7 linked regions of the Macaca mulatta genome follow. The protein of the gene in region 6 interacts with the protein of the main gene of each other region in a biochemical or structural test. Links are inferred from orthologs where the notes say so. Each region holds a gene or a part of one and is shown on either strand. Other genes may lie near its edges. The genes, in order: PPARG, CAMK2D, NR2C1, UBE2I, ESR1, HDAC4 and NACC1.

The links.
Region 1: the proteins of HDAC4 (region 6) and PPARG form a complex in vitro, tested with the Homo sapiens proteins (2 studies listed by BioGRID). The link is inferred for Macaca mulatta from reciprocal best matches to the Homo sapiens genes HDAC4 and PPARG.
Region 2: of the proteins of HDAC4 (region 6) and CAMK2D, one has a biochemical effect on the other in vitro, tested with the Homo sapiens proteins (2 studies listed by BioGRID, with this or other methods). The link is inferred for Macaca mulatta from reciprocal best matches to the Homo sapiens genes HDAC4 and CAMK2D.
Region 3: the proteins of HDAC4 (region 6) and NR2C1 form a complex in vitro, tested with the Homo sapiens proteins (2 studies listed by BioGRID). The link is inferred for Macaca mulatta from reciprocal best matches to the Homo sapiens genes HDAC4 and NR2C1.
Region 4: of the proteins of HDAC4 (region 6) and UBE2I, one has a biochemical effect on the other in vitro, tested with the Homo sapiens proteins (3 studies listed by BioGRID). The link is inferred for Macaca mulatta from reciprocal best matches to the Homo sapiens genes HDAC4 and UBE2I.
Region 5: the proteins of HDAC4 (region 6) and ESR1 form a complex in vitro, tested with the Homo sapiens proteins (2 studies listed by BioGRID). The link is inferred for Macaca mulatta from reciprocal best matches to the Homo sapiens genes HDAC4 and ESR1.
Region 7: the proteins of HDAC4 (region 6) and NACC1 form a complex in vitro, tested with the Homo sapiens proteins (2 studies listed by BioGRID). The link is inferred for Macaca mulatta from reciprocal best matches to the Homo sapiens genes HDAC4 and NACC1.

What each region holds. Positions count from the first base shown.
Region 1 is NC_133407.1:151,164,862-151,169,508, reverse strand, and holds the start of PPARG (peroxisome proliferator-activated receptor gamma), read right to left. Parts: upstream 3,019-4,647; 5' UTR 2,995-3,018; coding exon 2,913-2,994; intron 1-2,912. UniProt on the Homo sapiens protein: Nuclear receptor that binds peroxisome proliferators such as hypolipidemic drugs and fatty acids.
Region 2 is NC_133410.1:123,024,443-123,028,841, reverse strand, and holds the start of CAMK2D (calcium/calmodulin-dependent protein kinase type II subunit delta), read left to right. Parts: upstream 1-1,313; 5' UTR 1,314-2,013; coding exon 2,014-2,078; intron 2,079-3,673; coding exon 3,674-3,768; intron 3,769-4,399. UniProt on the Homo sapiens protein: Calcium/calmodulin-dependent protein kinase involved in the regulation of Ca(2+) homeostatis and excitation-contraction coupling (ECC) in heart by targeting ion channels, transporters and accessory proteins involved in Ca(2+) influx into the myocyte, Ca(2+) release from the sarcoplasmic reticulum (SR), SR Ca(2+) uptake and Na(+) and K(+) channel transport.
Region 3 is NC_133416.1:102,391,198-102,395,071, forward strand, and holds part of NR2C1 (nuclear receptor subfamily 2 group C member 1), read right to left. Parts: intron 3,662-3,874; coding exon 3,580-3,661; intron 2,177-3,579; coding exon 1,997-2,176; intron 981-1,996; coding exon 833-980; intron 746-832; coding exon 655-745; intron 1-654. UniProt on the Homo sapiens protein: Orphan nuclear receptor. Binds the IR7 element in the promoter of its own gene in an autoregulatory negative feedback mechanism. Primarily repressor of a broad range of genes.
Region 4 is NC_133425.1:2,512,043-2,516,716, reverse strand, and holds the start of UBE2I (SUMO-conjugating enzyme UBC9), read right to left. Parts: upstream 2,830-4,674; 5' UTR 2,660-2,829; intron 1,295-2,659; 5' UTR 1,284-1,294; coding exon 1,218-1,283; intron 1,026-1,217; coding exon 942-1,025; intron 1-941. UniProt on the Homo sapiens protein: Accepts the ubiquitin-like proteins SUMO1, SUMO2, SUMO3, SUMO4 and SUMO1P1/SUMO5 from the UBLE1A-UBLE1B E1 complex and catalyzes their covalent attachment to other proteins with the help of an E3 ligase such as RANBP2, CBX4 and ZNF451.
Region 5 is NC_133409.1:70,538,975-70,542,848, reverse strand, and holds part of ESR1 (estrogen receptor), read right to left. Parts: intron 3,583-3,874; exon of another isoform or gene 3,424-3,582; intron 1,417-3,423; 5' UTR 1,347-1,416; coding exon 895-1,346; intron 1-894.
Region 6 is NC_133417.1:144,358,021-144,361,894, reverse strand, and holds part of HDAC4 (histone deacetylase 4), read left to right. Parts: intron 1-2,732; coding exon 2,733-2,919; intron 2,920-3,874. UniProt on the Homo sapiens protein: Responsible for the deacetylation of lysine residues on the N-terminal part of the core histones (H2A, H2B, H3 and H4).
Region 7 is NC_133424.1:13,685,783-13,690,367, reverse strand, and holds the start of NACC1 (nucleus accumbens-associated protein 1), read right to left. Parts: upstream 2,922-4,585; 5' UTR 2,773-2,921; intron 1,719-2,772; 5' UTR 1,580-1,718; intron 1,313-1,579; exon of another isoform or gene 1,257-1,312; intron 1-1,256. Other genes in the region: TRMT1 (tRNA (guanine(26)-N(2))-dimethyltransferase), read left to right, coding at 3,303-3,562, 3,656-3,711, 3,941-4,083, 4,243-4,430. UniProt on the Homo sapiens protein: Functions as a transcriptional repressor. Seems to function as a transcriptional corepressor in neuronal cells through recruitment of HDAC3 and HDAC4. Contributes to tumor progression, and tumor cell proliferation and survival.

The sequences.
Region 1 (4,647 bases), on a different chromosome or scaffold from region 6:
GAAGGCCAGAGAAGAAAAATGGCATGCTTAAATTCACACAGCAAATATGTGGCCAAGATAGGATTGGTCCTTATATTCCCTGGTACTACATGGGTCCCTTTAAACTTCTGGAAAGGTGAAAATTTTAGTTATCTAAATGTTTCTGAATATATAGTTGCCTGGAGTAATGTAACCACAGATTAAGTATCCCTCAATAAAAATGGCATGCAATCAATCACTCACTCCTATCTCAGGAGAGACTCATTTTGACGGATTGTCTATTGCAGCATTTATCATGTCTCTAAGGCATATTTCCATTGCTCAATCAGCTCCAAAGGACAAGTGTGTCATCATCTTTCAAGGCTCTGGTGCAACAACTTAAAATTGTAGAATTCACACAGGACTAAGTCTGGCACTCAAAGCAGGAGGCATATTCAGCTTGAGCTTGTGGAAGCTTCCCTTCAATCTCGCCAATTTTTACTGGTGGAAATGGTTTCAGAGCCAGCATGAGGTTACTTGGGGTTGCTTGAGGAGCTCTTGATAAAAAAAAGAAAGGGGAGCAATATAAAGGGGTTACAGCAACGATGGAGCCTTGGAAAAAGCATGGAAGTCCTCTTTGGGCATAAAGTGTAGTGGATATTTTTAATCTCTCTTTTTTTTTTTTTTTTGAGACGGAGTCTCGCTCTGTCGCCCAGGCTGGAGTGCAGTGGCCGGATCTCGGCTCACTGCAAGCTCCGCCTCCCGGGTTTACGCCATTCTCCTGCCTCAGCCTCCCGAGTAGCTGGGACTACAGGCGCCCGCCACCTCGCCCGGCTAGTTTTTTGTATTTTTTAGTAGAGACGGGGTTTCACCATGTTAGCCAGGATGGTCTCGATCTCCTGACCTCGTGATCTGCCCGTCTCGGCCTCCCAAAGTGCTGGGATTACAGGTTTGAGCCACCGCGCCTGGCCTAATCTCTTGAATATAACCAATATACCTGGATATCTGGGTCATTCACACGAAATGTGCCACTTTTTCTTAATAGCAGTACCCAACTATTTGCAACACTCCCAATTTCACTTTGCCTATGATCAGGAAGAAGCACGTAAGAGGACTACTGTACCCAGGCCAAATACCTCATCTCCCCAGTGTTCAACACTGCTAGCCTCGGCTAATAATGATCATATATCTAATTTATTTGTAAGTCTGTCTGTTTTGGAAGAGGTGGAGCAATTATTTAAAGGTCATTTACAAATTACAGTAGGAGTAACAATCATAGGTCTTTGGCCTTTAGGAACTCACATTTTTAACAGAGAAACAGTGCTTATGAAGAAGGAGTAGCCAGAGACCCTGTAAGAAAAGGGTTAAATTATTGGTACAAAATATCATGTTTTAATTGCTAATAATTTCATTCTGTACCATGTTAATTAGGAAGAAAAGTACTGGATCATTCTTTTAGAGGAAATTGAGACTCAAAAAAATTAAACTCAGGGTAAATTCAAAGCATAAAGTTAGAGATTAGCACAGAATGAAAACTAACTTGAATCACATAACCATCCCTTACCACAAATAGTACTTGCCTCTCAGTTAACCTATTTTGTTGATATTTGTTGTACTGCATTCTAGACATGTTCTTTGAAAATAGACAAAACTATCAAATTTTGACTCAAGAACTATTTCACAGTATAGCCAGGACATTCTGCCCTGAGGCAGGGTAAATTAATAACTGAAGAAAGATAGCAACAATGTTTTTGGCTTGCAGAAAAACAGAATAACAGCACTTTAAGGAAAAAAACAAAACTCCTAGTTAAGAGGCTTAGATGATAGAAATACATGTTGAAACAAATTACTGTAATAAAATAAAACAGTATTTCAGGAAACATTTCTTACTAATTTTTAAAAAGCTTTATATTTTTAAAATGATGACTAATATGTTCAAACTTCAGGCTTCCAGGAAAACGAAAAGGTTAAAATCTATTTCAGCAATTAAGTGACTTAATTTTAATGCTTTAGCACCTATATTATAAAACATGAATCACACTAGTTAACAATCTATTTTTACATAGCATCTGAGAAGAGAAAAATAAAATGAATAGAAATAAAGACATCAATATGAGACAAAACAAAACAGAAAAAGCGGTGCTAAGAAACTCCAGTAGAAGGAGCTGTAGAAATGGAGAAATTACATTTTGCAATGGCCAAGAAAGAAATATTGAAAAGGAGGTATCTGATTCTGACACATCTGAAGAGAAGTAATAGGTAGTCACTTACAATAGGCATTTACTGTTTGAGGAACCTCATTTTCTTTATGCATAAAATATGATGCTTGGAACAGATCTTTTTCAAGGTTCCGACAATCCATTCTGCAATGTATTGGGCACTATGCTAGGAGGCATCCTCAGAAATCTAATAAAGAGCATCACTTGGTCCCATACTCTGGTAAATTACAATTCTTTGGGAGAGCTAAAGTGCCCACACAGTATCTAGATTTCAAAGTAGAACAGAAAAGAACTGAGAGTACTTCAAGAGGAACAAAAGCGCTGCAAGAGGGAAAAAAACCATTATGAGAGATCTCTAACATACAAGATGAAAAGAGGAAAAAGTGACCCTTCAAGTCTAAAAAGCCTTTATGTATTCTTGGGAAATCTATGCAAACTCAGGAAATAAAAATGAACAGGATTGTTTTTGGATATAACTATACCGTTAGTGCTTAAAATTCAGGAAATGGGAGCCATGCACAGAGATAAAATACAGATTAGGTTAGGTTTCCTTTTTTAAGGATCTGAATATGTTTTTAAGTGAATGCGATAGCAGCGAGCTAAGCATTAAAATACTGGAGTGTACACATGATAGTATTAAAACAAACATAACTTGGAAGACAAACTACAAGAGCAATTTTACCCTTACATAAATGCCCCCACGTCCCCAATAGCCATATCTGGAAGGAACTTTACCTTGTGATATGTTTGCAGACAGTGTATCAGTGAAGGAATCGCTTTCTGGGTCAATAGGAGAATCTCCCAGAGTTTCACCCATAACAGCATGGAATAGGGGTTTGCTGTAATTCACACTGATATTTTGTTTATATCTAGCAAAAGATCAATCCGTTAAAAGAAAAAGACTTGAAGTAACAGAATTTGTGAATACACCCATGAGTCAAGACATCAGTTTCCAAATATTTGGGAGAGATGGGAATAAACACAGAAAGGACTGGGCTTGAATTGGCTGGCACTGTCCTGTTAGGAGCCAGCTGTGACAAAAAGTTGTGTCATAATGTTGTTCACTGCTTTGGCAAGACTTGGTACATTACAGGGAAAATATTGCCACACTGTCTCGCCAGTGACCCACATGTTCAGTGTCTTGTGAGGGGCGTGAACTATACTGTATTTAGAATTATCAGAGCAGAGACTGTTCAATATCCACTTGCATTTTTAACTGTCGTAAAATTCACATCAATTCCTTCTTAAATGGAAAACTTCAAATCTCTTGCTTATGAAATACCAGAAAGCTTATTTGGGCAAAGTTTTCTTTCAATGTCTATTCCTGGTTGAATCTCTAATCATGTGATTTGAAGAAAATTTTGGAATTCAAATACATATCCATAGTTTAAACGTTGGTATTAGCATGCTACCGAAATGTTATATTCCTAAGGTACTTGTTCTGCTGATTTGTGAAGCCCAAAATGATATTGACTGCTATCCAAATTCTGTAAAATTAAATAGTTCAGAGAATGAAGAAGGGTTTGATATGGTTTCGATTTAAATATCGGGTTTGCTTTCTTAAAAACTTCAGCTTATCCATCAATAGCAACTACAGCAATGTTACATCAGCTGATGTTTGAACATCAATTGATGTTTAAATGATAAGTGCTATGTCATAATGAAAAAATGGAGTTCTCTGTGAGAAGAGTAACACATCACCAGAAAAAAATAGACTTACGCTGTTAGGTTGGCGAGGAATTGTGGTCGGTTTTGTAATCAGGAAAAAGCTGGCTTCTTGCTCAAGGCCTTTGCCCTTTTTGGCAAGGAGAGACACTAGCTGTGCCAAATTACTGATGTGGGAGCAGGTCTTGTCACATGAGTGGCCTACTAGAATCACAGTGACTTTGCGGACTTTCAAAGATGTCCCCACACAGGGCAGTATATGAGAAGGCAATTAATTCTCTGAATTATATTTATCCTGATATTCCCTGAGTAAAATAAATATATATCTGGTTAATCTACATTGAGTAACTATTCATTCTTCAAGGGGACTAGTAAAAGTGTCCCTGTCAATCATGGTGCAAGAGCTTGATGGGGAAATGCTGGCTGGCTCTGAACAGCACAGAATAAAGTGGGGAGTTGGGCAACTGTGCCATTAAGCCCCAAAACATCTTTATTAAAGCAATCCAAGTTAAAGCAAAACTTGGGTTTGCTAATTTGTCCAAATGACTGCAGTGATTACGGTTGTGTAAAATTAGTCTTCTCTATATTCACTTGAATTCTCAATAAAGGCACTTCTTCTTCCCTCCCCATGCTTGGAAATTTACTTATACTACAAAGTAATCCAGACACAATGGCACAATATTTAAGGATATGACTGAATTGAACTCCAGTCCTATACCAGTCTCTGTTACTCTTTGGCAACATACAGATGCAGTCTTTCCACCTGTCCTCAAAGGGAATCACTTCTGGACTCTTCACCTACTGC
Region 2 (4,399 bases), on a different chromosome or scaffold from region 6:
TCCATAACGCTGTTTTCGGTCTGCGTCAAATTTGCAATTGCATAGTTTTATTAAAGAGAACGGGAAAGAGGGCCCAGAAGTTGTTCTAGCAATCGGCAGCAATTTATCTATTTTAAATTGTAATGCATACTTTTTTTTCCTCCTACTGAAAACAATGGCAGATATGCTAAAGGGAAGGACACATTCTTGAACCACTAAGTGGTTTTTCAGATAGCCATTTACGGAGTGCACTCAAGTCCCACTATCTGGCTGAAAGCAAAGTACACACGACCTCCCCTTTTCCTTTTTCCCTTTGCAAAGCGAAACAGGCTAGACGCGTTTACGTGATGTGAATGACGTCAGCCCCCACCGGGTCGCGTGACCGACACCCAACCTTCCTACTACCTCGCCCCGGCCGCCAGAGTGGGAAATATCGCGAGAACTCGCCTTACTATCAGAACTTACTGAGGTTACAGGGGAGTTACTCAGAAGGGAAGGGAAGGTGTGGTTGAGTGGTGGAGTTTTTGCCTTCATTCTTTTAACGTTCATAGCCAAAGCAAAGGCCTTTGGGAATTGCCAGAGCCTCAGCCACCATCCTGGAAAACAGCGGGGGAGGTGGGCCTGGAGGTGGCAAGTGAAATGTGGCTCAGGGGTCGTCATTGCCCCTTGCAGAAGGGGCTGCGGGGGAGGGAGACAGCCTGCGCCGGGTTCTGGGGAGCTGGCGACGCAGTGAACCCCGCTGAGGTTGGGTTTTGCCCCAACAGTCGCTGGTGGCTGTGGGAAGGGTTGGGACCTTCTCTGAGAGCAATGAACAGCCCACATCCGGCCCCTGCTGTGTCAACTTTGAGTGGCGTGGAGATGAAGTGGTTGCTCTGCCTTGCTCGGCCACAGCGGGTGTCGTGGGCCGGCAGCCGGCCTGGAGAAGTCACTGCTGCCCAGCGCCCAAAACAGGGGCGTGGGCTACCGCGACCAAGGGCGGCAGCCCCGGGCCATCCTCGAGTTGCCCTGCATCTTCCCGCTCAGTCAGCCCCAGATTGAGGCAGGCTTCTCTGTGCGGGTTTAAATGGGTAACTGACGTCTCGCCTCATTCACCCAAACCTCCAGGCTTCTCCCCCGCAAATCCTCCTCCACCCACCTGGTTTCTCCTAGACGGGTGTGCTCGTGTGTGCGACCGAAGGAGGGATAGCGAGAGATCCACGAAGGGACACACTTGGAGTCGCTAGAGGGAGGTGTGGGACCAGCGAGGAGGGGGCTTCGCCAGGGAGGGGGTGCTGGCTGGCGGAGGGAGCGGCGGGAGGAGGCGCCAGGGGAGGAGACGGAGGCCTGGGGACGGCAGACGAGGCTTCGTCCGAGCCGAGCGCTCTTTCTCTCGCTGCGCCGTCTTGAAGCCGCGCGGGCTCGTGAGCAGCGCGAGGCAGTCAAGGTGCCTCGCTTCGCCGGATCCGCTGCTGCCCGCTGGAGGGAAGCCGGTCCCGGGCGCGCACGCTCGCCCGAGCCCCGGGCGCGCTCCGCGCCTGAGCCTGCTGACAGCTGCCGCTGGGCTCTGGCTGTCCGCTCCGGGCTCCGCGGCCTCGGCCCCGCTGCACTCCACCTCCGCCCCCTCGGACTCCCTCCCCTCTGCTTCTACCCCTCCTGCCTCCAGTGCGGATCGTTTCGCAACTGCTTGCCACTCGCCCCGTGCCCGGCTGTTTTTCCGTTTCCCGGCCCCCTCTTCTTGAATACTTTACCCCCTGTATTTGGGGACAGGGACTGGAAAAGGGGCGGGTGGAGCGTCCAGTGGAGAAGAAGGAAGCGAGGCCCGCAGGAGGAGGAGGATCGGCGGACCGTGGGGAGGAGACCCCACGCCACCGTTTCTGGTCATCTCCCCTCCCGCCCCGCCCCTGCGCACACTCCCTCGCGGGCGAGCTACTTTCGGACCAGGAAAGTAAGGGCGGCCCTGGGTGACAGCGCCGCGGGGCCAATCCCGGGGTTAGCCGCGCGTCTGCTCGCTTCTCGTCCGTCGCGCTCCCAGCCAGGGCACAGCCCGGACCAAGGATGGCTTCGACCACAACCTGCACCAGGTTCACGGACGAGTATCAGCTTTTCGAGGAGCTTGGAAAGTAAGCGCCTTTGCCCGGCATCCTCATGTCCCCTTTCCAGCTGAGGGCGGGTCGCGTTGCCCCAGACCCACCGGCCTCCGTCTTGGGGCGAGGGAGTTTGGGAGACGAGAGGAGTGGGAGGAGGGCCCCTGGTTTGTCAGCTCTGGGGAAGGTGCTGTCTTAGTAAGGGGAGGGAACACAGAAGGCGTAGGACCCTTGCCCCGGCTGTGGCTCATTTCGATAGTCCCTAGCCCACCTTCTCCCGGTCCCCCACCCTTCTGCACTGAGAGACTTAGTGAATTTACGATCTCTGCAGTTGTAGCTGTCATCCTGAGAAGTGTGCGCGCGCGCCTGTGTGTAATGTGTGTTTGGAGAGGAAATTAGAACCCATGTAAAATGCAACATAGATCATGTTTTCTGTAAATAGAGATGCCTCCTGGTTAGCCGGCGTGTCGGCCGTATGACCCATGTACTGAGGAGAACTCACAGCCTCAGACGGTGCCATATTTATTGATGCCGAAAGTTCAACTTGGCATGGAGACTATTTCGCATCCAGTAGTTGTTCTGTCCAGGAAAAGGGCCACCCAACAGAACCCAACCCCTTGCCCTATATCCACTGTTATTCTTTGCACCAGATTACCGCTCACCATCATTCTTCCTAGGATTTACGTGTGCATCTTTGCGTTCTCTGGGAGGATTTATTTATACAGGCAGCGGAAAAGCCCTCTGGAGACTGAGCGCGCTCTTAAGAGTAGCCTAGCATTGTGTAAAACCACCTCCTCTACCTAACTGGCAGAACTATTTGGAGATGCTAGGGAAGGAGGCAGGAGATCTACTGAGGACTTGTGTAAAGGGACCTAGGGGCCGAGCCGTGAATGCTGATTTTAGTAGCATTGAACCCAAACCCAATTCCTCTTTCACTAGTTTCGACTGTTACTTTTATGAAAGGGGTGCGTTTATATGTATGTTGTTGGTTTATACTGTAATTAAAGGAAAGGTAAATATTTTTGAAGGTAATAAAAATTATATATGTATATATTGTCTGGTGTTAAAACATGGAGAATATGTCGGAAGAGCAGCTTAATTCAAATCTCTCCCCTCCCCCAGCCCAAAACAAGACACAGAGAAATCACCATACCAGGATTTGTTAAACCACACTAATGTGCTCAAGATTGATATTTTAATGAAAATAATCGCCGTGTTTACTTACTTGGAACCACATTAATTTTTTGTTTCCTACCAAAGTAAGTAGGCGGCAGATTTTTTTGCTGCTCTTCCTCTGCTCTCTTCTGTGCAGGGTTTTTCTCAGAGCATTTGGTGCTGTGAGTGTGAACTGTAAAATGTTTTCAAATTTCTTGTGCAAACAAGAGCGGTCATAATTGGCAGTTCCTTTCATTTTGTTGATTAATAATGTGTGCTCCCAGTTAAATAAAATTTACTTTTATTCTTCAACATTAAAGAAAGTCTAGGTTTCCAGGAAGAATTGTTCATTTACTGGATATTACTGTACTTCACTGGCAATCCACTAAAATCAATAAAAATGCTCAGATTTTATAAATTTTTTAATGGAATGTTATATCTGTTATATTAATGACCTGCTAATTATTGGTTTCCAGGGGGGCATTCTCAGTGGTGAGAAGATGTATGAAAATTCCTACTGGACAAGAATATGCTGCCAAAATTATCAACACCAAAAAGCTTTCTGCTAGGGGTGGGTATTTTCAACCACATATATTGGTTAATTTTGTATGTGTCATGTTGATTATAGGTTCTGTTGTATGTAAATATCATGTAGTTATAACTGAATTTTAGACTTAGGTATCATATTACATACTGAGATTATTTTCTTCCTGAATGCTTCTTGGTCTGTACAGTTTAAAAATAAATGGAAAGATATAATTATTATTCGATAATTGCTATTAAAATTCTATCTGTCCTACAGGCAATAGCATGAATAACTATATTTTAAAGCAAATAAATGTCAGGTGCATTTTGCTTATAGTTTAAGTATAAAATAACTTTTAGAAAGACGATGGAATGGAAAAATATAAGTCTCACAACTGTCATAATTCCCTTTTGCTTTTGGGAGGAAAATAGGTCATAGCTCAGTTGAATCATATATTTCAATTGTAGTTACACTTGAACTTAATTCATCAAGGTATATTTAACAGTAATAGCTTTGATAAGAAAAAAATTTATGATTGCTATATTCTAGGAAGTTTAGTTTTATTTTGATGTTTCTGTGTGCAGCTCAGACCTTTACTTGATCTTCGTGTTAAGGCTTCGCACAGACTCATGTAATGTATTTTACACATGTAGTTTATAGCTACAGAGATAATTCA
Region 3 (3,874 bases), on a different chromosome or scaffold from region 6:
GCACTAAAAAAAAAAAAACCATGTATTTTGGGACTAACAAATCTGTAAGGGAACATAAAAGAAATATTAAGAATTTTACACCTATAAATGTCTTTTACTGAGGACTCGTATTTCAAGATGAGGGAAGAGTATGTGTTTGTTGCTTTCATGTTGAAGTGATAATCATCCTAGTGAAATTAGGAACATTTCTGATTTTTTGTTTTTTTGTTTTTTTTTTGAGACAGAATTTCACTCTTGTTGCCCAGGCTGGAGTGCAGTGGTGCCATCTTGGCTCACCGCAACCTCCACCTACCGGGTTCAAGCGATTCTCCTGCCTCAGCCTCCCGAGTAGCTGGGATTACAGGCATGTGCCACCACACCCAGTTAATTTTTCTATTTTTAGTGGAGACGAGGTTTCTCCATGTTAGTCAGGCTGGTCTTGAACTCCTGACCTCAAGCGATCCACGTGCCTTGGCCTCCCAAAGTGCTGGGATTACAGGTGTGAGCCACCGTGCCCGGCTGAACATTTCTAATTTACGTTAAAAAAAAAAAAAAAAGGCATCTTGTAATGTGGAATATTTAAGAACAAAGCAATTTACCAAAGCAAAGGAAGCGATTAGGAAAACATTTTAAAATGCTTAAAAATATCTAAGCTTTAAATTGTACTAAACACACCTTATCTGATGTCATCAGCACAGTTGACTCAGTTTTTACTCCAGATGGATGAATATTCACGAACATTCCTGAATCTAAAAGTCCTGTTGACCTGTAACAAATAAGCACACATTTTGGCCTGAGTTTCATTGGGAAGAAAAACAAAATGACCAGCTACTCAGTGTCTGTTTTACTTTACCTTGTAGTTTCACTATCTGTTACAAAAGTTGGAGTTGCAGTTAATGGGCTACGAAGGTCCTTTCGGATATAGATTTTTTCTGTTGAAGCGGCACAGTTGGAAGATTTTTCTCGTGATACTTCAATGGGTTTTCTTTCACATTGGACAGCTACAAAAATGTGTTAAACTATTATATCACAATATAGGATTTACAGACAATTATAAATGTAAGCTGTAGGTAAGCTTAATGCTGCTAATAGGAGACATGGCTACCATACTAAACTCCAAAGATAACCATCAATTTTTAGAAATTATGTGCGAGTTCAACAAAGTTGCTTTAGATTAGTAAAACTAACCAATTTGCATCTCTCATTCTTTTTTCTCTCCCTGCTCCCCCATTCCTGTGATAAAAATGAAAAGGAACTCTTTTTTAAAAGTTCACCATCAAGAAGAAAGAACTAAAGTTAGTAGTCACTTACCTATCTATATGAGAGCTTTAAACAAAATGAAGTGAAATTTAATCCATTGAAAAAATACTGAAAGGAACAAAAAGGCCTAAGGTAGATCTTTTATTAATGAAGGGCAAGAGATTTTTGAGAAGTAATTCAACTACTTGGTCTTCCTTTCTAAAATATAATACATAGTATTTGTAAGAATTTTATCTCATAACACTTAGGAGATAGTACAGTAAGGTTGTTAAACTGCCAGGATTCAAAGCCAGCTTATGCCACTTACATTAGTTGTATGACCTTGAGCAGGTTTCTCAACCTGTTTACCCAAATGTAAAATGGGTAACCTGGTACCTACTGCAGAGAATTGCTGTGAGAGTAAGTTAATACATATGCTAAGTGCAGTGTCTAGCATAGTGCGAGCTCAATCAATACTAGGTATTGTCATTATCTTACTAATCACCTTTTAGTAGTTTAATCCAAAAGTAAACTGGTATCTTAAGCTAGTTAAACTTGCTGCCAAACTACAAATACGTGCTTTTTACACAGGTATTCAATAAATATTAGTGGAAAAAATAAAAAATACATACGTATGTCTGTATTCTTATATTTTTAGTTGGAAAACTGTAAACTAAAAAGTATACATATTTGACCTATTTTAATTTGTTAATTTCAATACTCTTCTAGTTTGCTGGAATCTTTAAAAAGTATTTTCTCCTTAAAAGCTAATACATACAGTCTTGCTTCATTCCAAACGCAATACATCTCTGTAACCTGCAGTATTGACAGCGGTTTCGGTGGTGCTTATTAATAATACAATCCTTTGATCCTCGACATGAATATACTAAATTTTTTCGGATGCTTCTTTTAAAAAATCCTTTGCAGCCTTCACAAGTTACTGCTCCATAATGACGTCCTAGAGATAAAATGTTTAAGAAAACATAAAAGTCACATTATTTCAGAACAGACATGAAATAAGCCAATTTCTTCCCTTTAAACAACATGAGGTGAAACTGATTTTTGAGCTTCTGACATAAAAAACAGTTTTAGAAGTTATTTTTATTTATTTATTATAATTTTTTTAGAGACAGGATCTCACTCTGTGGCCCAGGCTGAAGTGCAATGGTGCAATCACAGTTCACTGCCGTCTCGAACTACTGGACTCAAGTGATATCCCCAAGTAGGTGGAACTACAGGCTTGTGCCACCACAACTGACCAGTTTTGTTATTTTTTTTTTTTGTAGAGACAGTCTTGCCATCTTGCCCAGGTTAGTCTTGAACTCCTGGCCTCAAGCGATCCTCCTGCCTCCACTCCCAAAGTGCTGGGATTACAGGCATGAGCCATCTCACCTGGCCTAATGTAATATATTAGTAAAGATCAGAAGTCATCATTTTTAAATGATTCCTTGGCCAAAATTTCTAGTTTTCACATTAAAACATTTTTCCACAGCTGGGCATGGTGGTTCATGCCTGTAATCCCAGCACTTTGGGAGGCCACGGCAGGTGGATCACTTGAGGTCAGGAGTTCGAGATCTGTCTGGCCAACATGGTGAAAGCCCATCTCCACTAAAAATACAAAAATTAGCTGGGCGTGGTGGCACACACCTGTCGTCCCAGCTACCCAGAAGGCCAAGGCAGGAAAATTGCTTGAACCCAGGAGGGAGAAGTTGCAGTGAGCCAAGATTGCACCACTGCATTCCAGTCAGGACAACACAGCAAGACTCCATCTCAAAAAAAAAAAAAATTTTTTTTTTACATATTCACTTTCAAAAGTGAAATATGCATTTTATTTCATTACAAATCAAATTAAACTGCACTGAAGTAAAAAAATATATAAGTGAATAAAGAGCTTTGGAACCAGGCATGGTGGCTCACACCTGTAATTCCAGCACTTTGAGAGGCCAAGGAGGGGAGGGTGGATCACCTGAGGTCAGGAGTTTGAGACGAGCCTGGCCAACATGGTGAAACCCCATCTCTAACAAAAATACAAAAATTAGCCGTGTGTGCTGGCACACACCTGTAGCCCCAGCTACTTGGGAGGCCGAGGCAGGAGAATTGCTTGAATCCAGGAGGCAGAGGCTGCAGTGAGCTGAGATCATGCCACTGCATTCCAGCCAGAGCAACAGTGAGACTATCACAAAAAAAAGAACTTCGGGAAAAAATTAGTTAAATTTTATAGGCTACAAATATTAACAATAAAAGTGACATACTTTAAGTAGAAGAAACATGGTAGTGTGGTAGTTATTTCAACAACACAACACATATAGGAGGTTATTTTTTTTTCTTTTTTTATTTTCAGGAGGTTATTCTTAATGTTACCTGATGCTTTGTCTCCACACACTACGCAAAGATCAAAAACCTTATTTGGTCCCTGGTCTGGAGAAGAATTATCTGTTAGGAGCTAAAAAAACAAAACAAAACAAAACAAAAACCTGTTGTTACTCAGTAGCACTCATTCTATTAAAAAAATTAAAGAACATTCAGTTGGTCTTGCTTTGTTGCTTTCTTTTTCACAAGTTATTTTTAAACTTTGTACTCTATGAAGAGCTCAGAACCTTTCCATGTGGAATGACGTGACAAAAATAAGCTTGTAATAGCATGAAGAGATAACTCT
Region 4 (4,674 bases), on a different chromosome or scaffold from region 6:
GCCCCAAGGGTTCTGCAAGCCCCGCCCCAGATCCTGCCTGGATGAGGCGCCTTTGCCACCCCACAATCCGACACCACTCCCGTCTTCCTCGGGGCCGCACACCTGCGTCGCCGTGACGTGAAGAGCAAGGGACGTTCTCAGCAGAGCCTCAGACAAGCGACAAACCCAAGTGACACCATGTCTCAGGCAAAGCTGAGACCTGCTGGGACTGCTCAGCTCAGGGGGACCGAAGCTGCTTTGAGTTTCAGAGTGAAACCCAGAGGGTGGCATGGGCCGGAGGGAACAAGGCCTCGGGCAGGACCAGCACCTCAGGGCTCTCTCCTTCCTTCAGGGTTCACCAGCATGAACCTTATGTGCACACCAGCCTGGAGTCCCCGGCCAAGTGCTTCACGGGAGCCGGGCAAAGACGACAGGCACACAGGCCGCCCTGCTCCCCACAGACACACAGGGGGCCCCAAGCAGGCATCCTAGGCTGCTGTCGCCAGTCCCTGTGCCCCAGGAGGTTCTCCAGGAGGCGGCTTTACGCCAGGGTGGCTCTCCAGCAAACCCAGCTACCGTGACCTGAGCCACACCTGGAAGGACACAGCAGAATCCCGGGTTCCAGCCTGCAAAGGCTGCCCGCCCTCAGGCCTGCTCCCAACACACACCAGAGCCCCTCCCCTCTGCCACAGCTCAGCCCTGTGCCCAGCCTGCTTCCTTCTCAACCAGAAATGCCCTCGGTGGGGACACAGCTGTCACCCCAACCTTGCCAGCACCACCTTCTGAGCTCAAGTCCGCACGGGGCGGGGGCCAGGCCACAGCTGGGGATCTGACCTGTTGTCCGCAGCCCGTGACAAGGGCGGCCGTCACAGACGGCAGGGGCTGAGCAGTTTCCCCGTGGCGTTGCCACACGCATCTGTTGAGCCCCGACAGGCAGGAGGCTAGCAGCGCGCGCCTCTTACCCCTTTCTTTCCTGGAATGGCGCACTCCCAGTTCATGAGGTTCATCGTGCCATCGGGATTTTTTGTTGGGACAGCCACGAAACCCTGAGAGAAAACAACCACAAAAGCACATCAGTGCGGTGGCATCTCGTTTGACCAAAACCACCGAGAACCGGCCCGCGAGCCCCACCAGCGCGACCCAGGCACGCGGCCAGCTCCCTCCCAGTGGTGGGGGGCACGGTTTCAGCCCAGGGGGGCCGTCCGCGGCACTGCACACGGAAACGAAGCCCTCCTTACAAACGGGTGGTCTTTCCTCCATGCTTTCCTCTCCTGGGCGAGTCTGCTGAGGGCGATCCCCGACATGTTCAGAGTCCCTGGAACACAGGAGGCAGAGCACGGGGTCAGGACAGGCTAGCGGGCTCCTGCGGCCCCGCCACGTGCACACGGCCCGCAGTGGGCAGTCTTGCTCCTAACAGGCGCCAGCCCAGCCCAGCAGAGACTCTCCTCCTGGAAGCCGTCGTCCGACCCCGGGGTCTACCAGGGGAGGCCTCATGAGTGGATCCCAGATCACCGGGGGTGGGGGGACAGGTAGGACCCCTTCCCCATGGGCCCCCCGAGCCCTGGTCTGCGACACGTGCCGCGGCCTCTGCTCCACGGTGGAGACGGATGTTCAGAGGCTGGGCTGCTGTGGCTGGGCGGTAGCTGCCACCCTGTGGTGGCTGGCGTGGCAGGGTCCTCACTGAACCGTCAGGTGGGGACTAGGCAGGGCTGGGTCCCAGCCTTACTATCTGGGTCCCCGCCTTACTATCAGGCGCTCAGAACTGAGACTCAAGCCGGGCCAGGGGGACACCTAATATTGTTTTTTTTTTTTTTTTTGAGATGGAGTCTCACTCTGTCCCTCAGGCTGGAGTGCAGTGGCACTATCTCGGCTCATTGCAACCTCCGTTTCTTGAGTTCAAGCAATTCTCCTGCCTCAGCCTCCCGGGTAGCTGGGACTACAGGCCCCCGCCACCATGCCCGGCTAATTTTTGTATTTTTAATAGAGATGGGGTTTCACCGTGTTGAAGACAGAGTGGAACAAGTACCACAGGGCAGAGGCTCAGCCTCGCTGAAAGAGGAGCCCCCCACAGGGCCACCGTTCCCGGACCCTGCAGCCGCTAGCATGTCCCTGTGGCTTCAGGGGACAGACGGGTCCTGTGGGGCAGGGCAGGAGCATGGGGTACGGGACCAGGTCCCTGGTCAGAGGCAGCGGCACACACGCCAGATTCCAGCTCCACACTTCTCCACGGGACCTCAGGGGCTTGGCACCTTTGCCTTCTGGTTCCCAGCGGGAGCCTGTCGGCCCGCACTGTCCCCGGGGACACCAGGCAAACAGGGCCAGCAGCCTCGACACCAGCCTCACCTGTCACCCTACTGGTGGTCACCTTTACCATGAAAAACAGCACTCAGGGCACAAAACCTGCCAGAGAATTCAAGCCCAAGTGTGTGCTGGTTTTCAAAGTCCACGGGAACACTGAAGCTGCCTCCAAGTCTGGCATCTCAGCGCCAAGCAAGGGCCACCTCGACAAAGCTGGGGGTTGCGCCAGGCCTTCCAAACCGTGGGGGGCCGTCCCTACAAGGGCCCTGGTGACCTGGATGGCGCCCGCACCTGTGCAGGCCCACGAACCTCACACACCTCACAGCTGCAGGAAGGGGCCAGGTCAGCAGCTCCACCTGGGCCAGAGCCGCCGCAGCCTCACCTGGCACTTGTTAGGGAGGCAAGGCCCAGTCCCCAGCAGACTCATTGAGGAAGGAGCTCCGAGAGGCCCACATTCGGGTTTTGGGCGGCACGATGGCTTCCCGAGGCAGCAAAGCAGAAATCAGGGGTGGGGCTGGGATCAAGGAAGCCCAGGCGGGTCCAGTGTCGCCAGGGAACCAGGGTGCTGGAAGCCAGGCGGGGCTGCTAGAGCCGCCTGCCCTGCAGGTGGATTTGGCTCCTTTTTAACCAAACACGGATCCTCAGGGCAGCCTGAGAAAAATCAGGCAAAGGAACCCGGGTCCTCCAGTCAGTAGGTGCTGGCATCACAGCGAGAGGGTGACAGGGGCCATCCGGGCACTGGCCTCCAGCTACACGATTAAGTCCAAGACAGGTAGCCCCAGACTGGGCCCCACCGGGATGTCCCTCCCCATGCCCTCCTCACAGGGATGCGGAGGAGCCCGCAGGCCGCCTGCCCTCTGGACCACTTGCCCATCCCCATGCCCTTCTCTAAGTGGGGGTGGGGGGAAGCCAGGGGCCAGAAAGGGAGAAAGTGGGGGACACAGCTGGGCTCAGCTGTGGGCAGGCAGGGTTCGAGCCCAGAGTGGAGTGGAGCTCCCGCCAACCACGGTTTCAAGGCTCTCTCTGCACGTGTCTCCACCCTCCACTTCCACATGGAGCAGCTCAGTTGTGGCTTGAGGACTCACAGCTCTCGCTTCCCCAGCCCCAGGGTGGGCTTCATGAGTAGCCACAGCCTGTGCCTGGTGCGGTGCAAAGCAGCCTGGTGAACGGCCGTTTTGAGGAGCCACGACCTCCCAGGTGCCCGGGGTCTGAGCGGGGCCAGGAATCAAGCAGGTCTCTGAAGCCCCAGGCCAGTGCTCCAGACACTGAAGGACCAAGGCCAACACGATCCTCACAGCCAGGCAAGGCCAGGCCCCAGAGAGGCCAGCCCCAGAGAGGCCAGCCAGGCCTGGAACCCTGCCACAGGTAGCCCTCCTACTGAAGACCGGACAGAGCCACCTAGAGGCCCCCGTCCCAGCACCTAGCTATTGCTGTCTCAGATGTGAGAAGTCGTGAGGGTGCTCCTGTGAGACCTCCCGCCAAGGTCTGGCTGATGCTGCTGTATCCCCTGCCCCAAAGCACTCAGCACCACAGGGTGGTCTCACAGGAAACTGCACCACAGGGCAAGGAGCCACAGGTGCACACCCACCCTGTCCTAGGCAGAAGCCAGGCCCCTCCCCCTGCTCCCCCTCCTACTGGCCTCCTGGAGAAAGTGGCCAATGTGTTACAATGTAATCACAACACAGACGAAGCATTCAAAATCCCGCTGAAAATCGAATTTGCCCTTCCAAATTAACAGATAAGCACTAAGTGAATGGCTAGCAGTTACTAGACCCTTCAGAGCAGGGAACTTATATGAGGCAAAGACAAAAACAACCCTCATCTATCAGAGCCAAGCAAGGCCCAGACACTGCAGCAACCAGGACAGGGCCAAGCACTCCAGGAGTGGCCTGAAGGTCTGCCTTCTGTCCTGCTGGGCACCCGCGACCGGCTGAGCTTTAGCTTCTCGGATCACCACCTTGCTCTGCTGGTTGACAGCACCGACTTCCGAGCAACTTCCTGGCTGAGGGTGAGCAAAGCACTCACCTCTCACAACTCCACCGCACTCATCTCCACAACGGGTGGTCGCCACGACGGCTGGCACAAGAAGCCTGTAAAGGTCCTCCTGCACCCAAACGCAAACTCTCCCAGGCTTGGGGAGGTATTCCCTTCTGCAAGACCCAGGCACCTGCAGTCAGGAGACGCTCACCTGGCCGCACCTGATCTGCCCCAGGCGCCCAGAATGTTTCTGAAGCAAGATCCCGAACCCTGACACATCACACAAGCGCACACCTTCAACCACCCAGTGGTCTAGGAAAGGGACCTCTGAAGGAGCAATCAGGACAAACTCAGGTCCCGTCCTCTCTTTCGCTGCACAGCTTCTCTACCCAAACGCAATGTTTCTTGTTCTTCAAAAAA
Region 5 (3,874 bases), on a different chromosome or scaffold from region 6:
TGGTCTCCTGTGTCTTGGACCGGCCGCGCTCGTTCCACAGTGGCTGCGAGGCGCAGACCCCGGCGGACCCGCACGCCACTCCGGGGCATTCTCCCCGGGTGGGACAGGCTCGCCACTGGGCTGGCGGGAGATTATTTTTAAGCACTCGTGCTTCCATATGGCTTGTTTTAAACTCGCGGGACACCTACAAATTTCCGGCTGTCAGAAGTCACATGCCAGCAATCCGCTCCAGCGCGGACTCAGCCAGCTAACTCCGAAATCAGACCCATTCAACTCCCAATCGCTCTCTAAAGCCCCAGGACGTGGGGTGGGGAGGAGGGGAAAGAGGGTGACAGGAATCGCTTCCCAGAAAGTCATCATCATAGCCGACATATTTCCAATCAAATAGTCTAGATGAAAGGAAATTTGGGGAGCACATTAAACAAAAACATTGAAAGGATAAATAAAATTCTGCCGAGCTCCGCTAACTCCAAACACCCCCAACTTTAAATGCCAAGAGCGGGACCTTCTCGAGTGACTCAAAGCGCTTCGTGTTTATTTGCCTGGAGGTGTTTCCTCCCGCAAATAACTGCTGCTTTGTCTGGTTTTCCAACGTGTGTTTAGTTAGGAAGCCCCGGGCTTTCGGGTCTGCCTGTCGCACGGACCCTAAGTGGGTGGAGAGCACGTTTTTCTCAGCTGCCCGGCGAGAGAACTTGACTCTGAACGCAACGCGGGCTGCACGCAGAACCCCCGGGCTGGGCCGCGCGCACCGAGCTCCCTGCGCGCACCCTCGGGTCGCGCGTCCCGCGGCTCCCGCTGCTCCCTCGGCTCCCCCTTCTCCCTCCCTCCCTTCCTCCCTTCCTCCCTCTCGCCGGGCGCGGCGGCCACCCCGACGGGCGGCGCGGGCGCGGGTACCTGTAGAATGCCGGAGGGCCGGCCTCGCGCACCGTGTAGCCGCTGGGCTCGTTCTCCAGGTAGTAGGGCACCTGCTGGCCGTGGGGCTGCAGGAAAGGCGACAGCTGCGGCGGCGGGTGCAGCAGCATCAGCGGGCTCGGAGACACGCTGTTGAGTGGGGGGAAACCCCCCAGGCCGTTGGAGCCGAACGCCGCAGCCTCAGACCCGGGGCCGTACGGGAGGCCAGTCTGGCCGTAGACCTGCGCGTTGGCGGCGGCCGCGGCGTTGAACTCGTAGGCGGCGCCCTCGGGGTAGTTGTACACGGCGGGCTTGCTGCTGTCCACGTACACCTCGCCCAGGGGCCGCTCCAGGGGGATCTTGAGCTGCGGACGGTTCAGGGGCTCCAGCTCGTTCCCTTGGATCTGATGCAGTAGGGCCATCCCGGATGCTTTGGTGTGGAGGGTCATGGTCATGGTCCGTGGCCGTGGGCAGGGCGCAGACCGTGTCCCCGCAGGGCAGAAGGCTCAGAAGCCGGCGGGCCACCTGGAAAAAGAGCACAGCCCGAGGTTAGAGGCGACGCAGCGCATGTCCCGCCGAGACGCGAGCTCTGGCCCCGGCCCTGACCCGGGAGCCTGCGGGTCCGGTGAAGCCTGGCGACCCGACGGGAGCAAGTGCAGTCCCGGGACGAACGCCCTCCGCCAGCTCCCGGGCTCCCGGGCCTCCAACTTTAAGTACTGGTCTCCCGAGCTCATATGCATTACAAAGGTGCTGGAGGAAGGCCAGGGACTGTTGCCTTGCCCTGACATTGGCTTAAACATCACTCCAGGCACAACTCGATTTGGAGCGATCCCAAAGAGCAGCTTCCCTGAACTTTACTTTACTTGTCGTCGCTGCTGGATAGAGGCTGAGTTTCACGGCCAGGGGGCGGGGGCGCACGAGGATCTGCTAAAGGTGGCCCAGGGAAGAACCGGCTTAAAATAAACGCGAAAGACGAATCCAGGGGCCGGCTTTCTCTAATGTGCTGCCTTATGTGCCCCGTGCCAGACTCCAATATATCTCTGTTTATCTCTCTTTCTGTTTGATTCCCCCTCCTCGTTGGCTAGAAATACGTAGTGTGTACATAGGATGACCCTGGGGAGGACTACACTGTAACCGAGATAGGGCAGATAGAATGGGGTGTGTGGTTGCATACGCAGCCAGCCACAGACAGCTATATTTAGCAGCTGGGGGAACTGACAGGGGGCATCTGAGGGGAAGGGGGGCGGAGATTCAGGGTATACATATAGGAAGAGCTGCATTTTGCCATCAGGAGAATGCAAACTGCCAGGACCTCAGTTTCTTCCTCTGCAAAATGCTCCCAAAGTGGACCCCTTCCACAACCTTCTGAGATTCTCTCAGCTGGACTTGTGTGTTTATGTTGGACCACAGTACTGTACTTGGTCCCATTAGGAATTCTCATGTGAAGGATGATTCAGAAAAACCTTTGGTTAGGGCGCACATGGGTGTTCATGCCTTCCACAGGTTAGTTATGCAACCAAAACTTCAGAAAACTGAATATAAAATGTGACCTTTTCATACCCAACATAACCTCAGGTCATAAACCAAAGCTTTGGCAATTATGTGACATTGTCGGTCTGGTTCAGCTAACAGATTTTTAAAATGCATTTCTGCATGTCTATTCTTTAGTCCTACAACTCGATCTTCTCGGTTCACTTGGGCTAGGATATGCAGAATCAAATATCCAGATGAAAAACAAATAGAAAAAAGTTTTTAACTGAATTAAAAGTTAAGCATGCACACACACATACGCACACACACACACATACATATACATATTAAGGACACAAAAAATACGGAAAGTATGTCATGCATCTATAATCTTGGAGAGTTTATACTTTTTAATAAACTTCCTTTGCTGCAGCCTAATAGACTCTGGTACAACTATCAATACTTTATTTTAATTGCTATCCCAAACACCCAACAGAGTACCTGACAAAGTGTTCATGGTATATCTAAATGCCAAGCTTACTGTTACTAATAGTTACATTTTTGAATATTTTATATCAAGTATACATTTTATCTAATTCCTACAAAAACAGACCATTGTCGGACAATATACAGATTAGCTGATTTAATATGAAGCCAAAATCGAGTTTAGCATTAATGACTATAGATTGTCAGCAACTAAAGGGTTAAAAACACATTAGGTACATCACAGATATTTCCCTTTATGGCCAGCAATCATTACTTTCCAAAGCAATTTTTCACAGATGATTTAGTTTCCATAAATCACACTTTCAATTTTCAAATGCCTTTTTAAAACACACGCAAAAAGCACTTCATAGGGCTCTTAAAAAATCTGAACCTGCCAAATTATATGCAAATGGCACAAAGAATCCTACAAGTCATGAAAGAAAAAGGAGACACACACGTACCCCCATGGAGAACAGCAATCCTCATCTCCCTGCTAGGATACAGACACTAGCCAGAAAGGTAAGTTGCTTTCTCAAAATGCTAAAGCTACAGAGAGAGAAATCAAAACAAGCCTACCCTGCTGGATCAAGAACGTCTTTCCAGAAATGTTCCATGGGCTTGTAGAAGTCAAGGGCCGAGACAGTGAGAAGGAAGGAAGGAATGTGCTCGCATGTGCGAGTGGCTCAGTGTGTGAACTAGGCAGAGAGCGTGTGTGGATGTGTTTGTGCGTGGAATGGCAGGGATTCGGGAAGCAGCCAGTAGGCAGGGCACTTGGCAGCCCCTCCCGGCAGACACGCAGCTGGGCTACTGCACGGCGCTGGATGAATGGCAGTGGGGAGTGAGGGGAGACTTGCTGTCTGCTCACAGGGAGCAGCGTGGCACAGCCAGAGAAAGCTGTACTGGGGAGGAGAAACCCCAGCCCCTTTGCCCCTTACCCTTGGAGGCTGGAAAGTACCCTATGCTTTCCGCTGCCACCCCAAGCAAGAGGAAAAACAGGCTTGCTGTGAATCATACTCTTACGGCTAAA
Region 6 (3,874 bases):
GAAATACCTGAGGCATTTGGGCAGCCAGCTGGAGCCCCGTATCTGCAGCCAGAGTGTCCTCAGAAAGGTGGCTTCCTCCCTATAGGCAGGAAGCGAGCCTGAGGAACCACAGCTGTAGGATTTGATTCTGTCCTCCAGCAGCAGAGCTGCTGCCTCGGCTGCAGGAGCCACTGGATCATTCCCTCCCTTGTCTCTGGACTCCATGCTGGCCGTGCCACTGAGCACCTCCCCAGCTTCCTGACTGCCAGCTGTGTGGCCAGAGCTGCATCTCTACCCCCAGCAGCACCCTGGAAGCCAGGAGCAGGACGCCCTGCAGTAAACTGTTCCCTTTAATTCTCAGCTGCAGGTCTTGGCACCGAATGAATCAGTGTGGGGCCTTGTACCTGGAGCACCTAGACCCAAGCCTGCCGCACGGGGGGTCAGGTCTCAGTGGTCTCCAGAGGCTTCTGGGCCAGGAGCCCTTCTCTACCAAGCTTCCCCCGGCGGTGGGCATTGGGTGCTATTTCTCCTTTTTGTTCAGAGGGCGGCCTCTCTCTAATTTCTGGGCCGTCTTAATTAGCACCCCGGGCACTAAACACTACACAGCCCAGCAGCCTGGCAAAGACAGAGAGAGAAAGCCCCGGGCCTCTCTGGCACACACACGGTGCTTCGTGGTGAACACTCATCCACAGGTCCCGTCTGACAGGCCCGGGTTTGGGGCCTCTTCCTGTGGTCGGGCCTTGAAAGTCGATGAAGGTCTGAAATTCAGTGTGCTGTTATTATGCGGATAAGAAGTGGGAAACTATTTACATTAATAATTTTTGGGACTAGTTTCTCATAGATCGGCGTTCACTTTGAAAAAAGAGGCTTGTTATATTCCAAGCGTGAGATGATGATTAGAAACAATTTCTGTTCTCTCTGGAGAGTAATAGGCAGAACTCCTTATCAGGGAAACTTGGTAGTACACGGAGCAATTTGCCGAGGTAAACCTAAGGCGGGGCACCTTCCAGCCGGTGTCCGGGAGGATTGCTTATTAACCGCTTAACCACGTGGGGCCCACAGCAATCCCAGCTGAATTTGGTTAGCCGCAGACTGGGGGCCTGTGGGTGCTGGCTCCTACTCCAGCTCCTGCTCCAGCTCCTCCGCCTGTCTCGGGGCTCCCCTCTTCTCTGCTCCCTCCTGGCTCTTTTTTTTTTCTTTTTTTGAGACGTAGTCTCACTCTGTTGCCCAGGCTAGAGTGCAGTGGTGCCATCTTGGCTCACTGCAGCCTCCACCTTCTGGGTTCAAGTGATTCTTCCCCCTCAGCCTCCCGAGTAGCTGGGACTACAGGCACCTGCCATCATGCCTGGCTAATTTTTTTTTTTTTTTTTTTGGTAAAGACAAGGTTTCACCATTTTGGCCAGGCTGGTCTCGAACTCCTTACTTCAGGTGATCTACCCACCTTGGCCTCCCAAAGTGCTGGGATTACAGGCGTGAGCCACCTGGCCTGATTCCTAAAGACAGGACAGATCAGAGCCTGGCCAGGCAGCTCTGGCTTCCCCCAGTGCTGGCAGCACAGGGCTGGACTCCGCCTCTCATACAGGAGCTGAGATGTAGGTACCTGGTTTTCCACGTTCACAGGATTTGTTCATCAAAACTAAGACAGGATTGGCGCAGAGCTCCCAGCGAGGAGGCGCCCGGCTTTCTTTGTGCCTCGGCTTGGGTGGCAGGTCGCTGTGCTCTCCCTCAGCTGCTGTCTGGGGAGAGGCTAGGCAGCTGTGGCCTCATCTCTGCCCTGCTTCCTCCACTCCACTCTGCCTCGTATGAGGGTGTGCACCTCAGCCTGTTCCCAGAATCCCTTGGGGTGTCCCAGGCCCCTGACTAAGTGGCCTCCCTACACAGAGCCCAGCCCAGCCCCATCTCATCAGAGAGGCACATCCCCACCAGCAGGCCTGCTCCAGGCTCCAAGGGTCCTGGGTGCCTGGAAGCTGATGGGCTGTTTCTGCTTTTAGCCTGCATGAGGATGTGTGGAATGTGAGACCAGGGAGGGGAGCGGCTGCAAATGAAGCCGAGCTAGCACTTCCAAGTCTGAGAATCAAGGGTGCTTTCTCACCCAAGTTTAGTGTGCAGATTCAGTGCTGTTGGTCAAAACTAAGACCCACAAACCCAACAAGGGGGCGAGGCTTCATGCCCACCCACTGTACGTGTGTGGTGTGGCAGAGTGAGTGCTTTGGTCCCCGTGTGTGGTGTGGCAGAGTGGGTACTCTGGTCCCCACATCTGCATGGCCTTCGCATATCTCCCAGTGGAACCAGCGAGGGCCAGGCTGCCGCCCCAGCAAGAGCCTCTCTCCACACCTGCCAGGCCCCACTCCCCTGCACCTGGTCCAGGCTGCTCCTGGCTCAGTACCTCCTCAGAGAAGCCCTCGTTGATACCCCATACTGTCTAGGCCTCCCTGGGACCCCGTGACTCAGCCTGTGTTATCCTGTTGATAAAGCCCATGGCGGGATCCCATGTGGACAACCTGCTTTCCCTAGAAAGAGCCACATCCTGGGAGACAGAGCCCGTGCTGGCCTCATTCTCGGCTCTGGGCCCACTCAGGCTTCAGGGCACTCACAGGGAAGGCCTCTCCACGCAGCTGGCCTCCCAGCATCCTTGTGGCCCGTGTATGGCCTGTGCATGGATGGGAGACTTGCAAGAGAGGGCAGCCCCTAGCCCTGCAGCCCAGCCGTGGGAGGTGCCTGCAGCCGCCAACATGGCCGTTTCTTCCCCGCAGCAAGCCCTCCTGCTGGAGCAGCAGCGGATCCACCAGCTGAGGAACTACCAGGCGTCCATGGAGGCTGCCGGCATCCCCGTGTCCTTCGGCAGTCACAGGCCTCTGTCCCGGGCGCAGTCCTCACCGGCATCTGCCACCTTTCCCGTGTCTGTGCAGGAGCCCCCCACCAAGCCGAGGTTCACGACAGGTAACAGATGGCCTTTGTGCAGCCTGAGGATGTGACGCGGGCCACAGTGGGCACAGACCGGGGCGGGGGGTACTCCGGGCCCAGCTCTGCAGAGGCTGAGGGGCTGGGCAGGCACGAGGGCGGGAACCACACAGGCCTCTCATGGAGGCCCTCTCCCTGCCCCACGCCCTACACCCTCAGTTCTGTTATTCTGGGGGCCTGTCATGGGCTCACTTGCCCACCTTTCCTGTCCCAGAGACCCATGGTCTCCTCCAAGAACAGTCCACAGCCCATGCCCGTGGGGCCATGAGAGCCTACAGCTTCTGGTCCGGCTTAGGAATCACGAGCCCACACTTCTCCACTTACTCTCTCATACTTCACCCACGTCCACAGCGTTGACTCTGAGGCTCCAGTGGCAGGACTGTGAATGGCTGGTGGGGGGCCATGATTACACGAGAGCAGAGCCCGGGACCCCTGGGACATGCTGCGGGAGCCACACATCTGTCTGTGCCATCCCTCGTACCATCCTCACCCCAGGGAGGTGACCTGCCGGCAGGGGTCCTTGGTTTTCCCTGCACGGTACCCCACCAGAAGTCAGGAAGCAAGCGAGGTGTCCACCATGGCTGAGGAGGCAGGCGGGGCTGGGCCCTGGACTTGTCTGCCTGGAGCTGCCTGGAGTCAGGGAGGAGACTGCTGTCCCGGGCCGCCCCGCCGCCCAGCCACCCCTGCAGGGGAGAGGCGGGAAGGAGGGCTGGCTTCTGGCAGGGCTTGCCTCTGAGACAAGCACGGAGGCAGGAGAGCTCTTCATATTGTTTTGATCTAATATTTCTTGTTAATGACGCACTAAGAAAAAAGTTCTGTAAATACAGCATGGCTTCATTCTTCAGATAATTCTCATCACATGGCTTAGTGTTCTGCAGTCTGCAAAGTTCTCACTCTCAGGTCTTAGAAGGATGCTATTCATATTCAGAGAAAA
Region 7 (4,585 bases), on a different chromosome or scaffold from region 6:
CAAACCACCATTAGCAGAGTTTTACATGCTCACTCCCTCTAATTCTTCACCCCTAGGGAGGTGGCACACAGAACTCAGGCGCAAGGAGTTGGTGCCTGGGAGGCCATGGTACTAATATATATGACGGTGGCTATGAGGTCCCATCCACTAGGCTTGAACCAACAGCTTCTGGTCACAAAAGGTAGAGAAAGAACGCAGGATCCTAAAATACCCAGGTAATGTCTGCTGGGCTGCCTCCCTGTAGATATATAAGGTGGGGGTGGGCGAGGGCCACCTTGTGATAAACAAGATGCCTAAGCTAGGTGTTCCAGACTGTCTCCAGCTGCCCACACAAACACCCACTGGCCAGCGCCTTTGAACAGTTGGCAGAGGCTTGCCCAAGGGGTAGGGTCAGGACTCTAGAGGCTTCTGGGATGAGGTGTGGGAATGAGGGAACCCCTTAGATGTGACTCTGAACTAACACTTCGAGTTGGGGTCGATGCGGGGCGCATCTCAGTATATACCTGCTGGTCACACTAGCTTTTCCTGACCTGCCCCCACATCCCCCCAGCCTAGCCCAAAGGCTCTGCTCCCCCGACTCGCAAAGCTCCTACAGCAGTCCCTCGCCTTACCTAATCGCCCCCAGATCTAGCCTCCCCCTCCCCACATCTGAGTCCTGACCTCATGTGACCCCCGGAAAACATCTCTGGGATCTCCTATCCGCCCCCACCCGAACTAACTCCGCCCACACCCACCGTGCCCCACTTCCTGGGCTTCTCCTCAGCCGCCCCCAGGCCTGTAACTTGACCCACCCACCTCCTCCAGCGCCCAGGCGGTACCTGCAGGCCCGGCCCCTCCCCGCCCCCCTCCGGCCGCGCCGCTCTCCTCTCCTCCCCCACTCGGCCTGGCCAGAGCCCGACTCCTCCTCCCCCTCCCCCTCCGGCATCCACGGGCGCCTCCTCACTTTTCCGCTTCGGACCCTCTAACTTCCCTGGATCCCCGGTACCCGCCCCGGCCCGACCTGGCCCCCTCCCTCGCTGGGAGCTGGGGGAGCGGTCCAGGTACGATCCTGCCGCCCCCAAGCCCCGAGGTTCGGGCTGGACGCTCAAGTCTGCCCGCGGTAGCCGGGCCTGCACACACACGCCTGCCCGGGCACAGTGCAGGCTGCGGGCCCGGCTCCTCCTCAGTCCGAGAAAGCACCCAGGCCCTCCCCACTCAGCCCTCGGGCCGCCCCGGCTGGAGAAGGCCGGAACCGGGCCTGAGGCGGGCCGCCTCACCTGCGCCGTGGCCGCGCTCCGGGGGCTCCCGGCGGGCTCCGCAGCGGCGGCTGGGGCCGGGCCTGGGCCCGGGGCGCGCCCCCCTGCGCCGGGGCCTCGGCCTCCGCCTCCGCGGCCTCCGCGGCCTCCGCCTCAGCAGCAGCGGCAGCCGCGGCGGCCATTCATTGTGGGCCAGGCCGCCCCAGCCGAGCGCCGAGCGAGCGCAAGCCGCGCCGCCGCCGCAGCCAGGCCAGGGAGGAGCGGCACCGGCCCCGCCCGCGCACCGCCCTCAGGCCCCGCCCTCCAGGCGAGGCCAGCCGAGCTCCGAGCGCGCCCCATCTAACCGGCTCCGTCTCCTCTCTATGCCCCTGGGAGGATCCTCGCCGGTACGTCGGCTCAGCTCGGTGGTTCGAATCCCGACCCCGCCACCTTCTAGTCCCGCGACCTTGGGCAAGTCGCTCTACCTTTCCGAACTTTAGTTTCCTGTAAAACAAAAACAATAATGACTGCTGTTTATTGTAGCAGGCACCGTGTTAGGTTCTTTATGGGAATTAGCTCGTTTAAACTACACAGTAAAATTTTTTAGTGGGAACTGTTACACACTAGAGAAAATAAAGGCGGCTGGGCGCGGTGGCTCACGCCTGTACTCCCAGCACTTTGGGAGACCGAGGTGGGTGGATCGCCTGAGGTCAGGAGTTCAAAACCAGCCTGGCCAATATGGCGAAACCCTGTCTCTACTAAAAATACAAAAATTAGCCGGGCGTGATGGCAAGCGCTAGTAATCCCAGTCACTCGGGAGACTGAGGCAGGAGAATCGCTTGCACCCGGGAGGCGGTGGTTGCAGTGAGCCGAGATCATGCCACTGCATGATCCAGGGCGAGACTCCGTCTCAAAAAAAAAAAAAAAAGAAAAGAAAAGAAAGAAAGACAGAAAAGGAGGCACAAAGAAAGCTGGTCAAGATCATCACACAGCAAGGAAGTGATGGCGGGTGCCAGGATTTAAACGCAGGCTCAAAAGCGACAATAACAGCTAAGACTTTTATGATGCTTACCGGATGCTAGGTTCTGTTAGCATTTTACGTGCACTAACTCGTTTACTTCTCACTACAACCCACTAACAAATGGTAAAAAGTTCTGCCCTTTTGCAAAAGCGGTAACTTAAGTTCAGAGTTAACAACAAGTCGCAGGGCGAGCTAAGACTGGAACCCAGGTACCCGGGAACCACTTCGCTGTCCTGCCTTCGTACACTGGTTAGAACTTTACCGAGCGCTTACAAGGTCAGAGTGGCTCTTTACACACTTTCCAGGAATCTGTCATTTAATCTTTGTTCTATCTGAGAAACCACGATTCTTATTTAATAGATAAGAAAACTGAAGGCCCTAGAGTAACCGGCCCAGAGCATGTGGTGGGACTGAGATTCAAACCCAGTAAATCCAACTCCAGAGCCTGAGTTATCCCTGCAGAGTGCTCTGAAATAATGTGTATATAGCACCCAGAACACAGAAGAGGACCAATAGCTGTTGGGTTTCTCCGCTTACCGCCCCTTTTCTGAGCCACAACTTCCTCATCTGTGAAATGGGACTAGTGACGTGTCCTCTCCCAGGGGATCCACTGTGATTAAAACCCCCGGAACAGCATGATCAGCGCGCTTCCTTTATGGCATTCATTTTGATCCCGGCCGCCCACCGTCCACGTCCTCATTGATTGGCCAACCACTATCATGTGATTTCCCCCACCCACCGTGCCAACATGGCGGCGCCCAGGTCCTAATTTGGGAAACGTGCACCTTGACTAATTCGGTTTTCTGTGGCTACGAGACCAGGTGAGGAGGGGCTGGGCAGTGCGGGAAGGGATTCAGACTCAGGGCGGGCCTGCACGAGGGCATCGGCTCCGCAGGAACCAGTCATCCCCAAAACGAGGGGTTATCAGCTTACCGAGGCCGCAGGTCTTCCTAGTTTCTACTTCATAGATATGTAGGACACCCCCGGGCCCAGAATGCGGCTCTCTGACCCTCTCTGTGCCTTTCCCCGCCCCCCGAACCAGGCTTGGCGGACAGAGGCACCAGCGGATGTCTCATGCAAGGATCGTTCTGTGGCTAAGCCTCACTCTCCGCCCCACCCGTGTGCTCTGTACAGCCCGGTTTTTCGAGGGGCAGTCCCCAGGGCTGCCGAATCCAGCAGCGATGGAGAACGGCACCGGGCCCTGCGGAGAAGAATGCCCACGTGAAGTCCAGGAGACGACAATCACCGAGGGGGCTGCCAAAATCGCCTTTCCCAGCGCCAACGAGGTCTTTTATAACCCGGTGCAGGAATTCAATCGGGACCTGACGTGAGCAGGGGTCAGAGGTCAGCCTGGCATCGGCTAGTGGGTCAGTGTGGATGGCGGGGGCGGGGTATGAGCTAGTCCTCTGTCTCCCACCAGATGTGCTGTGATCACCGAGTTTGCTCGCATTCAGCTTGGGGCCAAAGGAATCCAGAGTGAGTGGAGGTCCAGGCTTCTGGCGGGCGGGGGTCACACAAGTCTTATCTCCCTGCCTGGGCCCTTCTGCCGCCCAAATCCAGAGAGGCTTCAGCCACATAGCAGGCCCTGGGTTCTGCTCCTTCAGCCTTTCCCCAGGGATTTCAGGGAAGATATTTTGGAGATTAAGGGGAGGTTTCTCAGAGAGGACTTCGTTACTCTCTGACTTGTGCCTCTGGGTGGCTGCAGTCAAGGTGCCAGGAGAGAAGGACACGCAAAAGGTGGTCGTGGACTTGTCAGAGCAAGAGGAGGAAAAGGTTGAACTGAAAGAGAATGAAGACCTGGCCTCAGGAGACCAACCTCGCACAGCGGCCGTGGGGGAAATCTGTGAGGTGGGGCCTGAGCATAGCAGCTGGCAGTCCTGGAATTTAGCGGGAGACAGAGGGCTCCTGGAGGGGGAGAGCTATAGGAGGTGGGTGGTGGGGGCTCCTTGGGGCCCAGAAGAGGATGGAGATGGAGGTGTGAGGGAGGTTTTCTGCTCACTCCAACAGGAAGGCCTGCATGTGCTGGAAGGCCTGGCAGCTTCAGGCCTACGTTCCATTCGATTTGCCCTAGAGGTGCCTGGGCTCAGATCTGTGGTTGCAAACGATACCTCTGCCCGGGCTGTGGATCTCATACGCCGGAATGTCCAGCTCAATGACGTGGCACACCTGGTACAGCCCAGCCAAGCAGATGCCCGGTAGGTTCTGGGCATCACAGCCTAGCTATGGGACAAGGCTGCCTGGGATCAAAATTCTGGCTCTCTCCTATTCTCACTCTATGACCTTGAGTGAGTGACTTAGCCTCTTTGAGCCCCAGTTTCCTTGTCTGTCAACTGAGAAAACTAGTTTTACA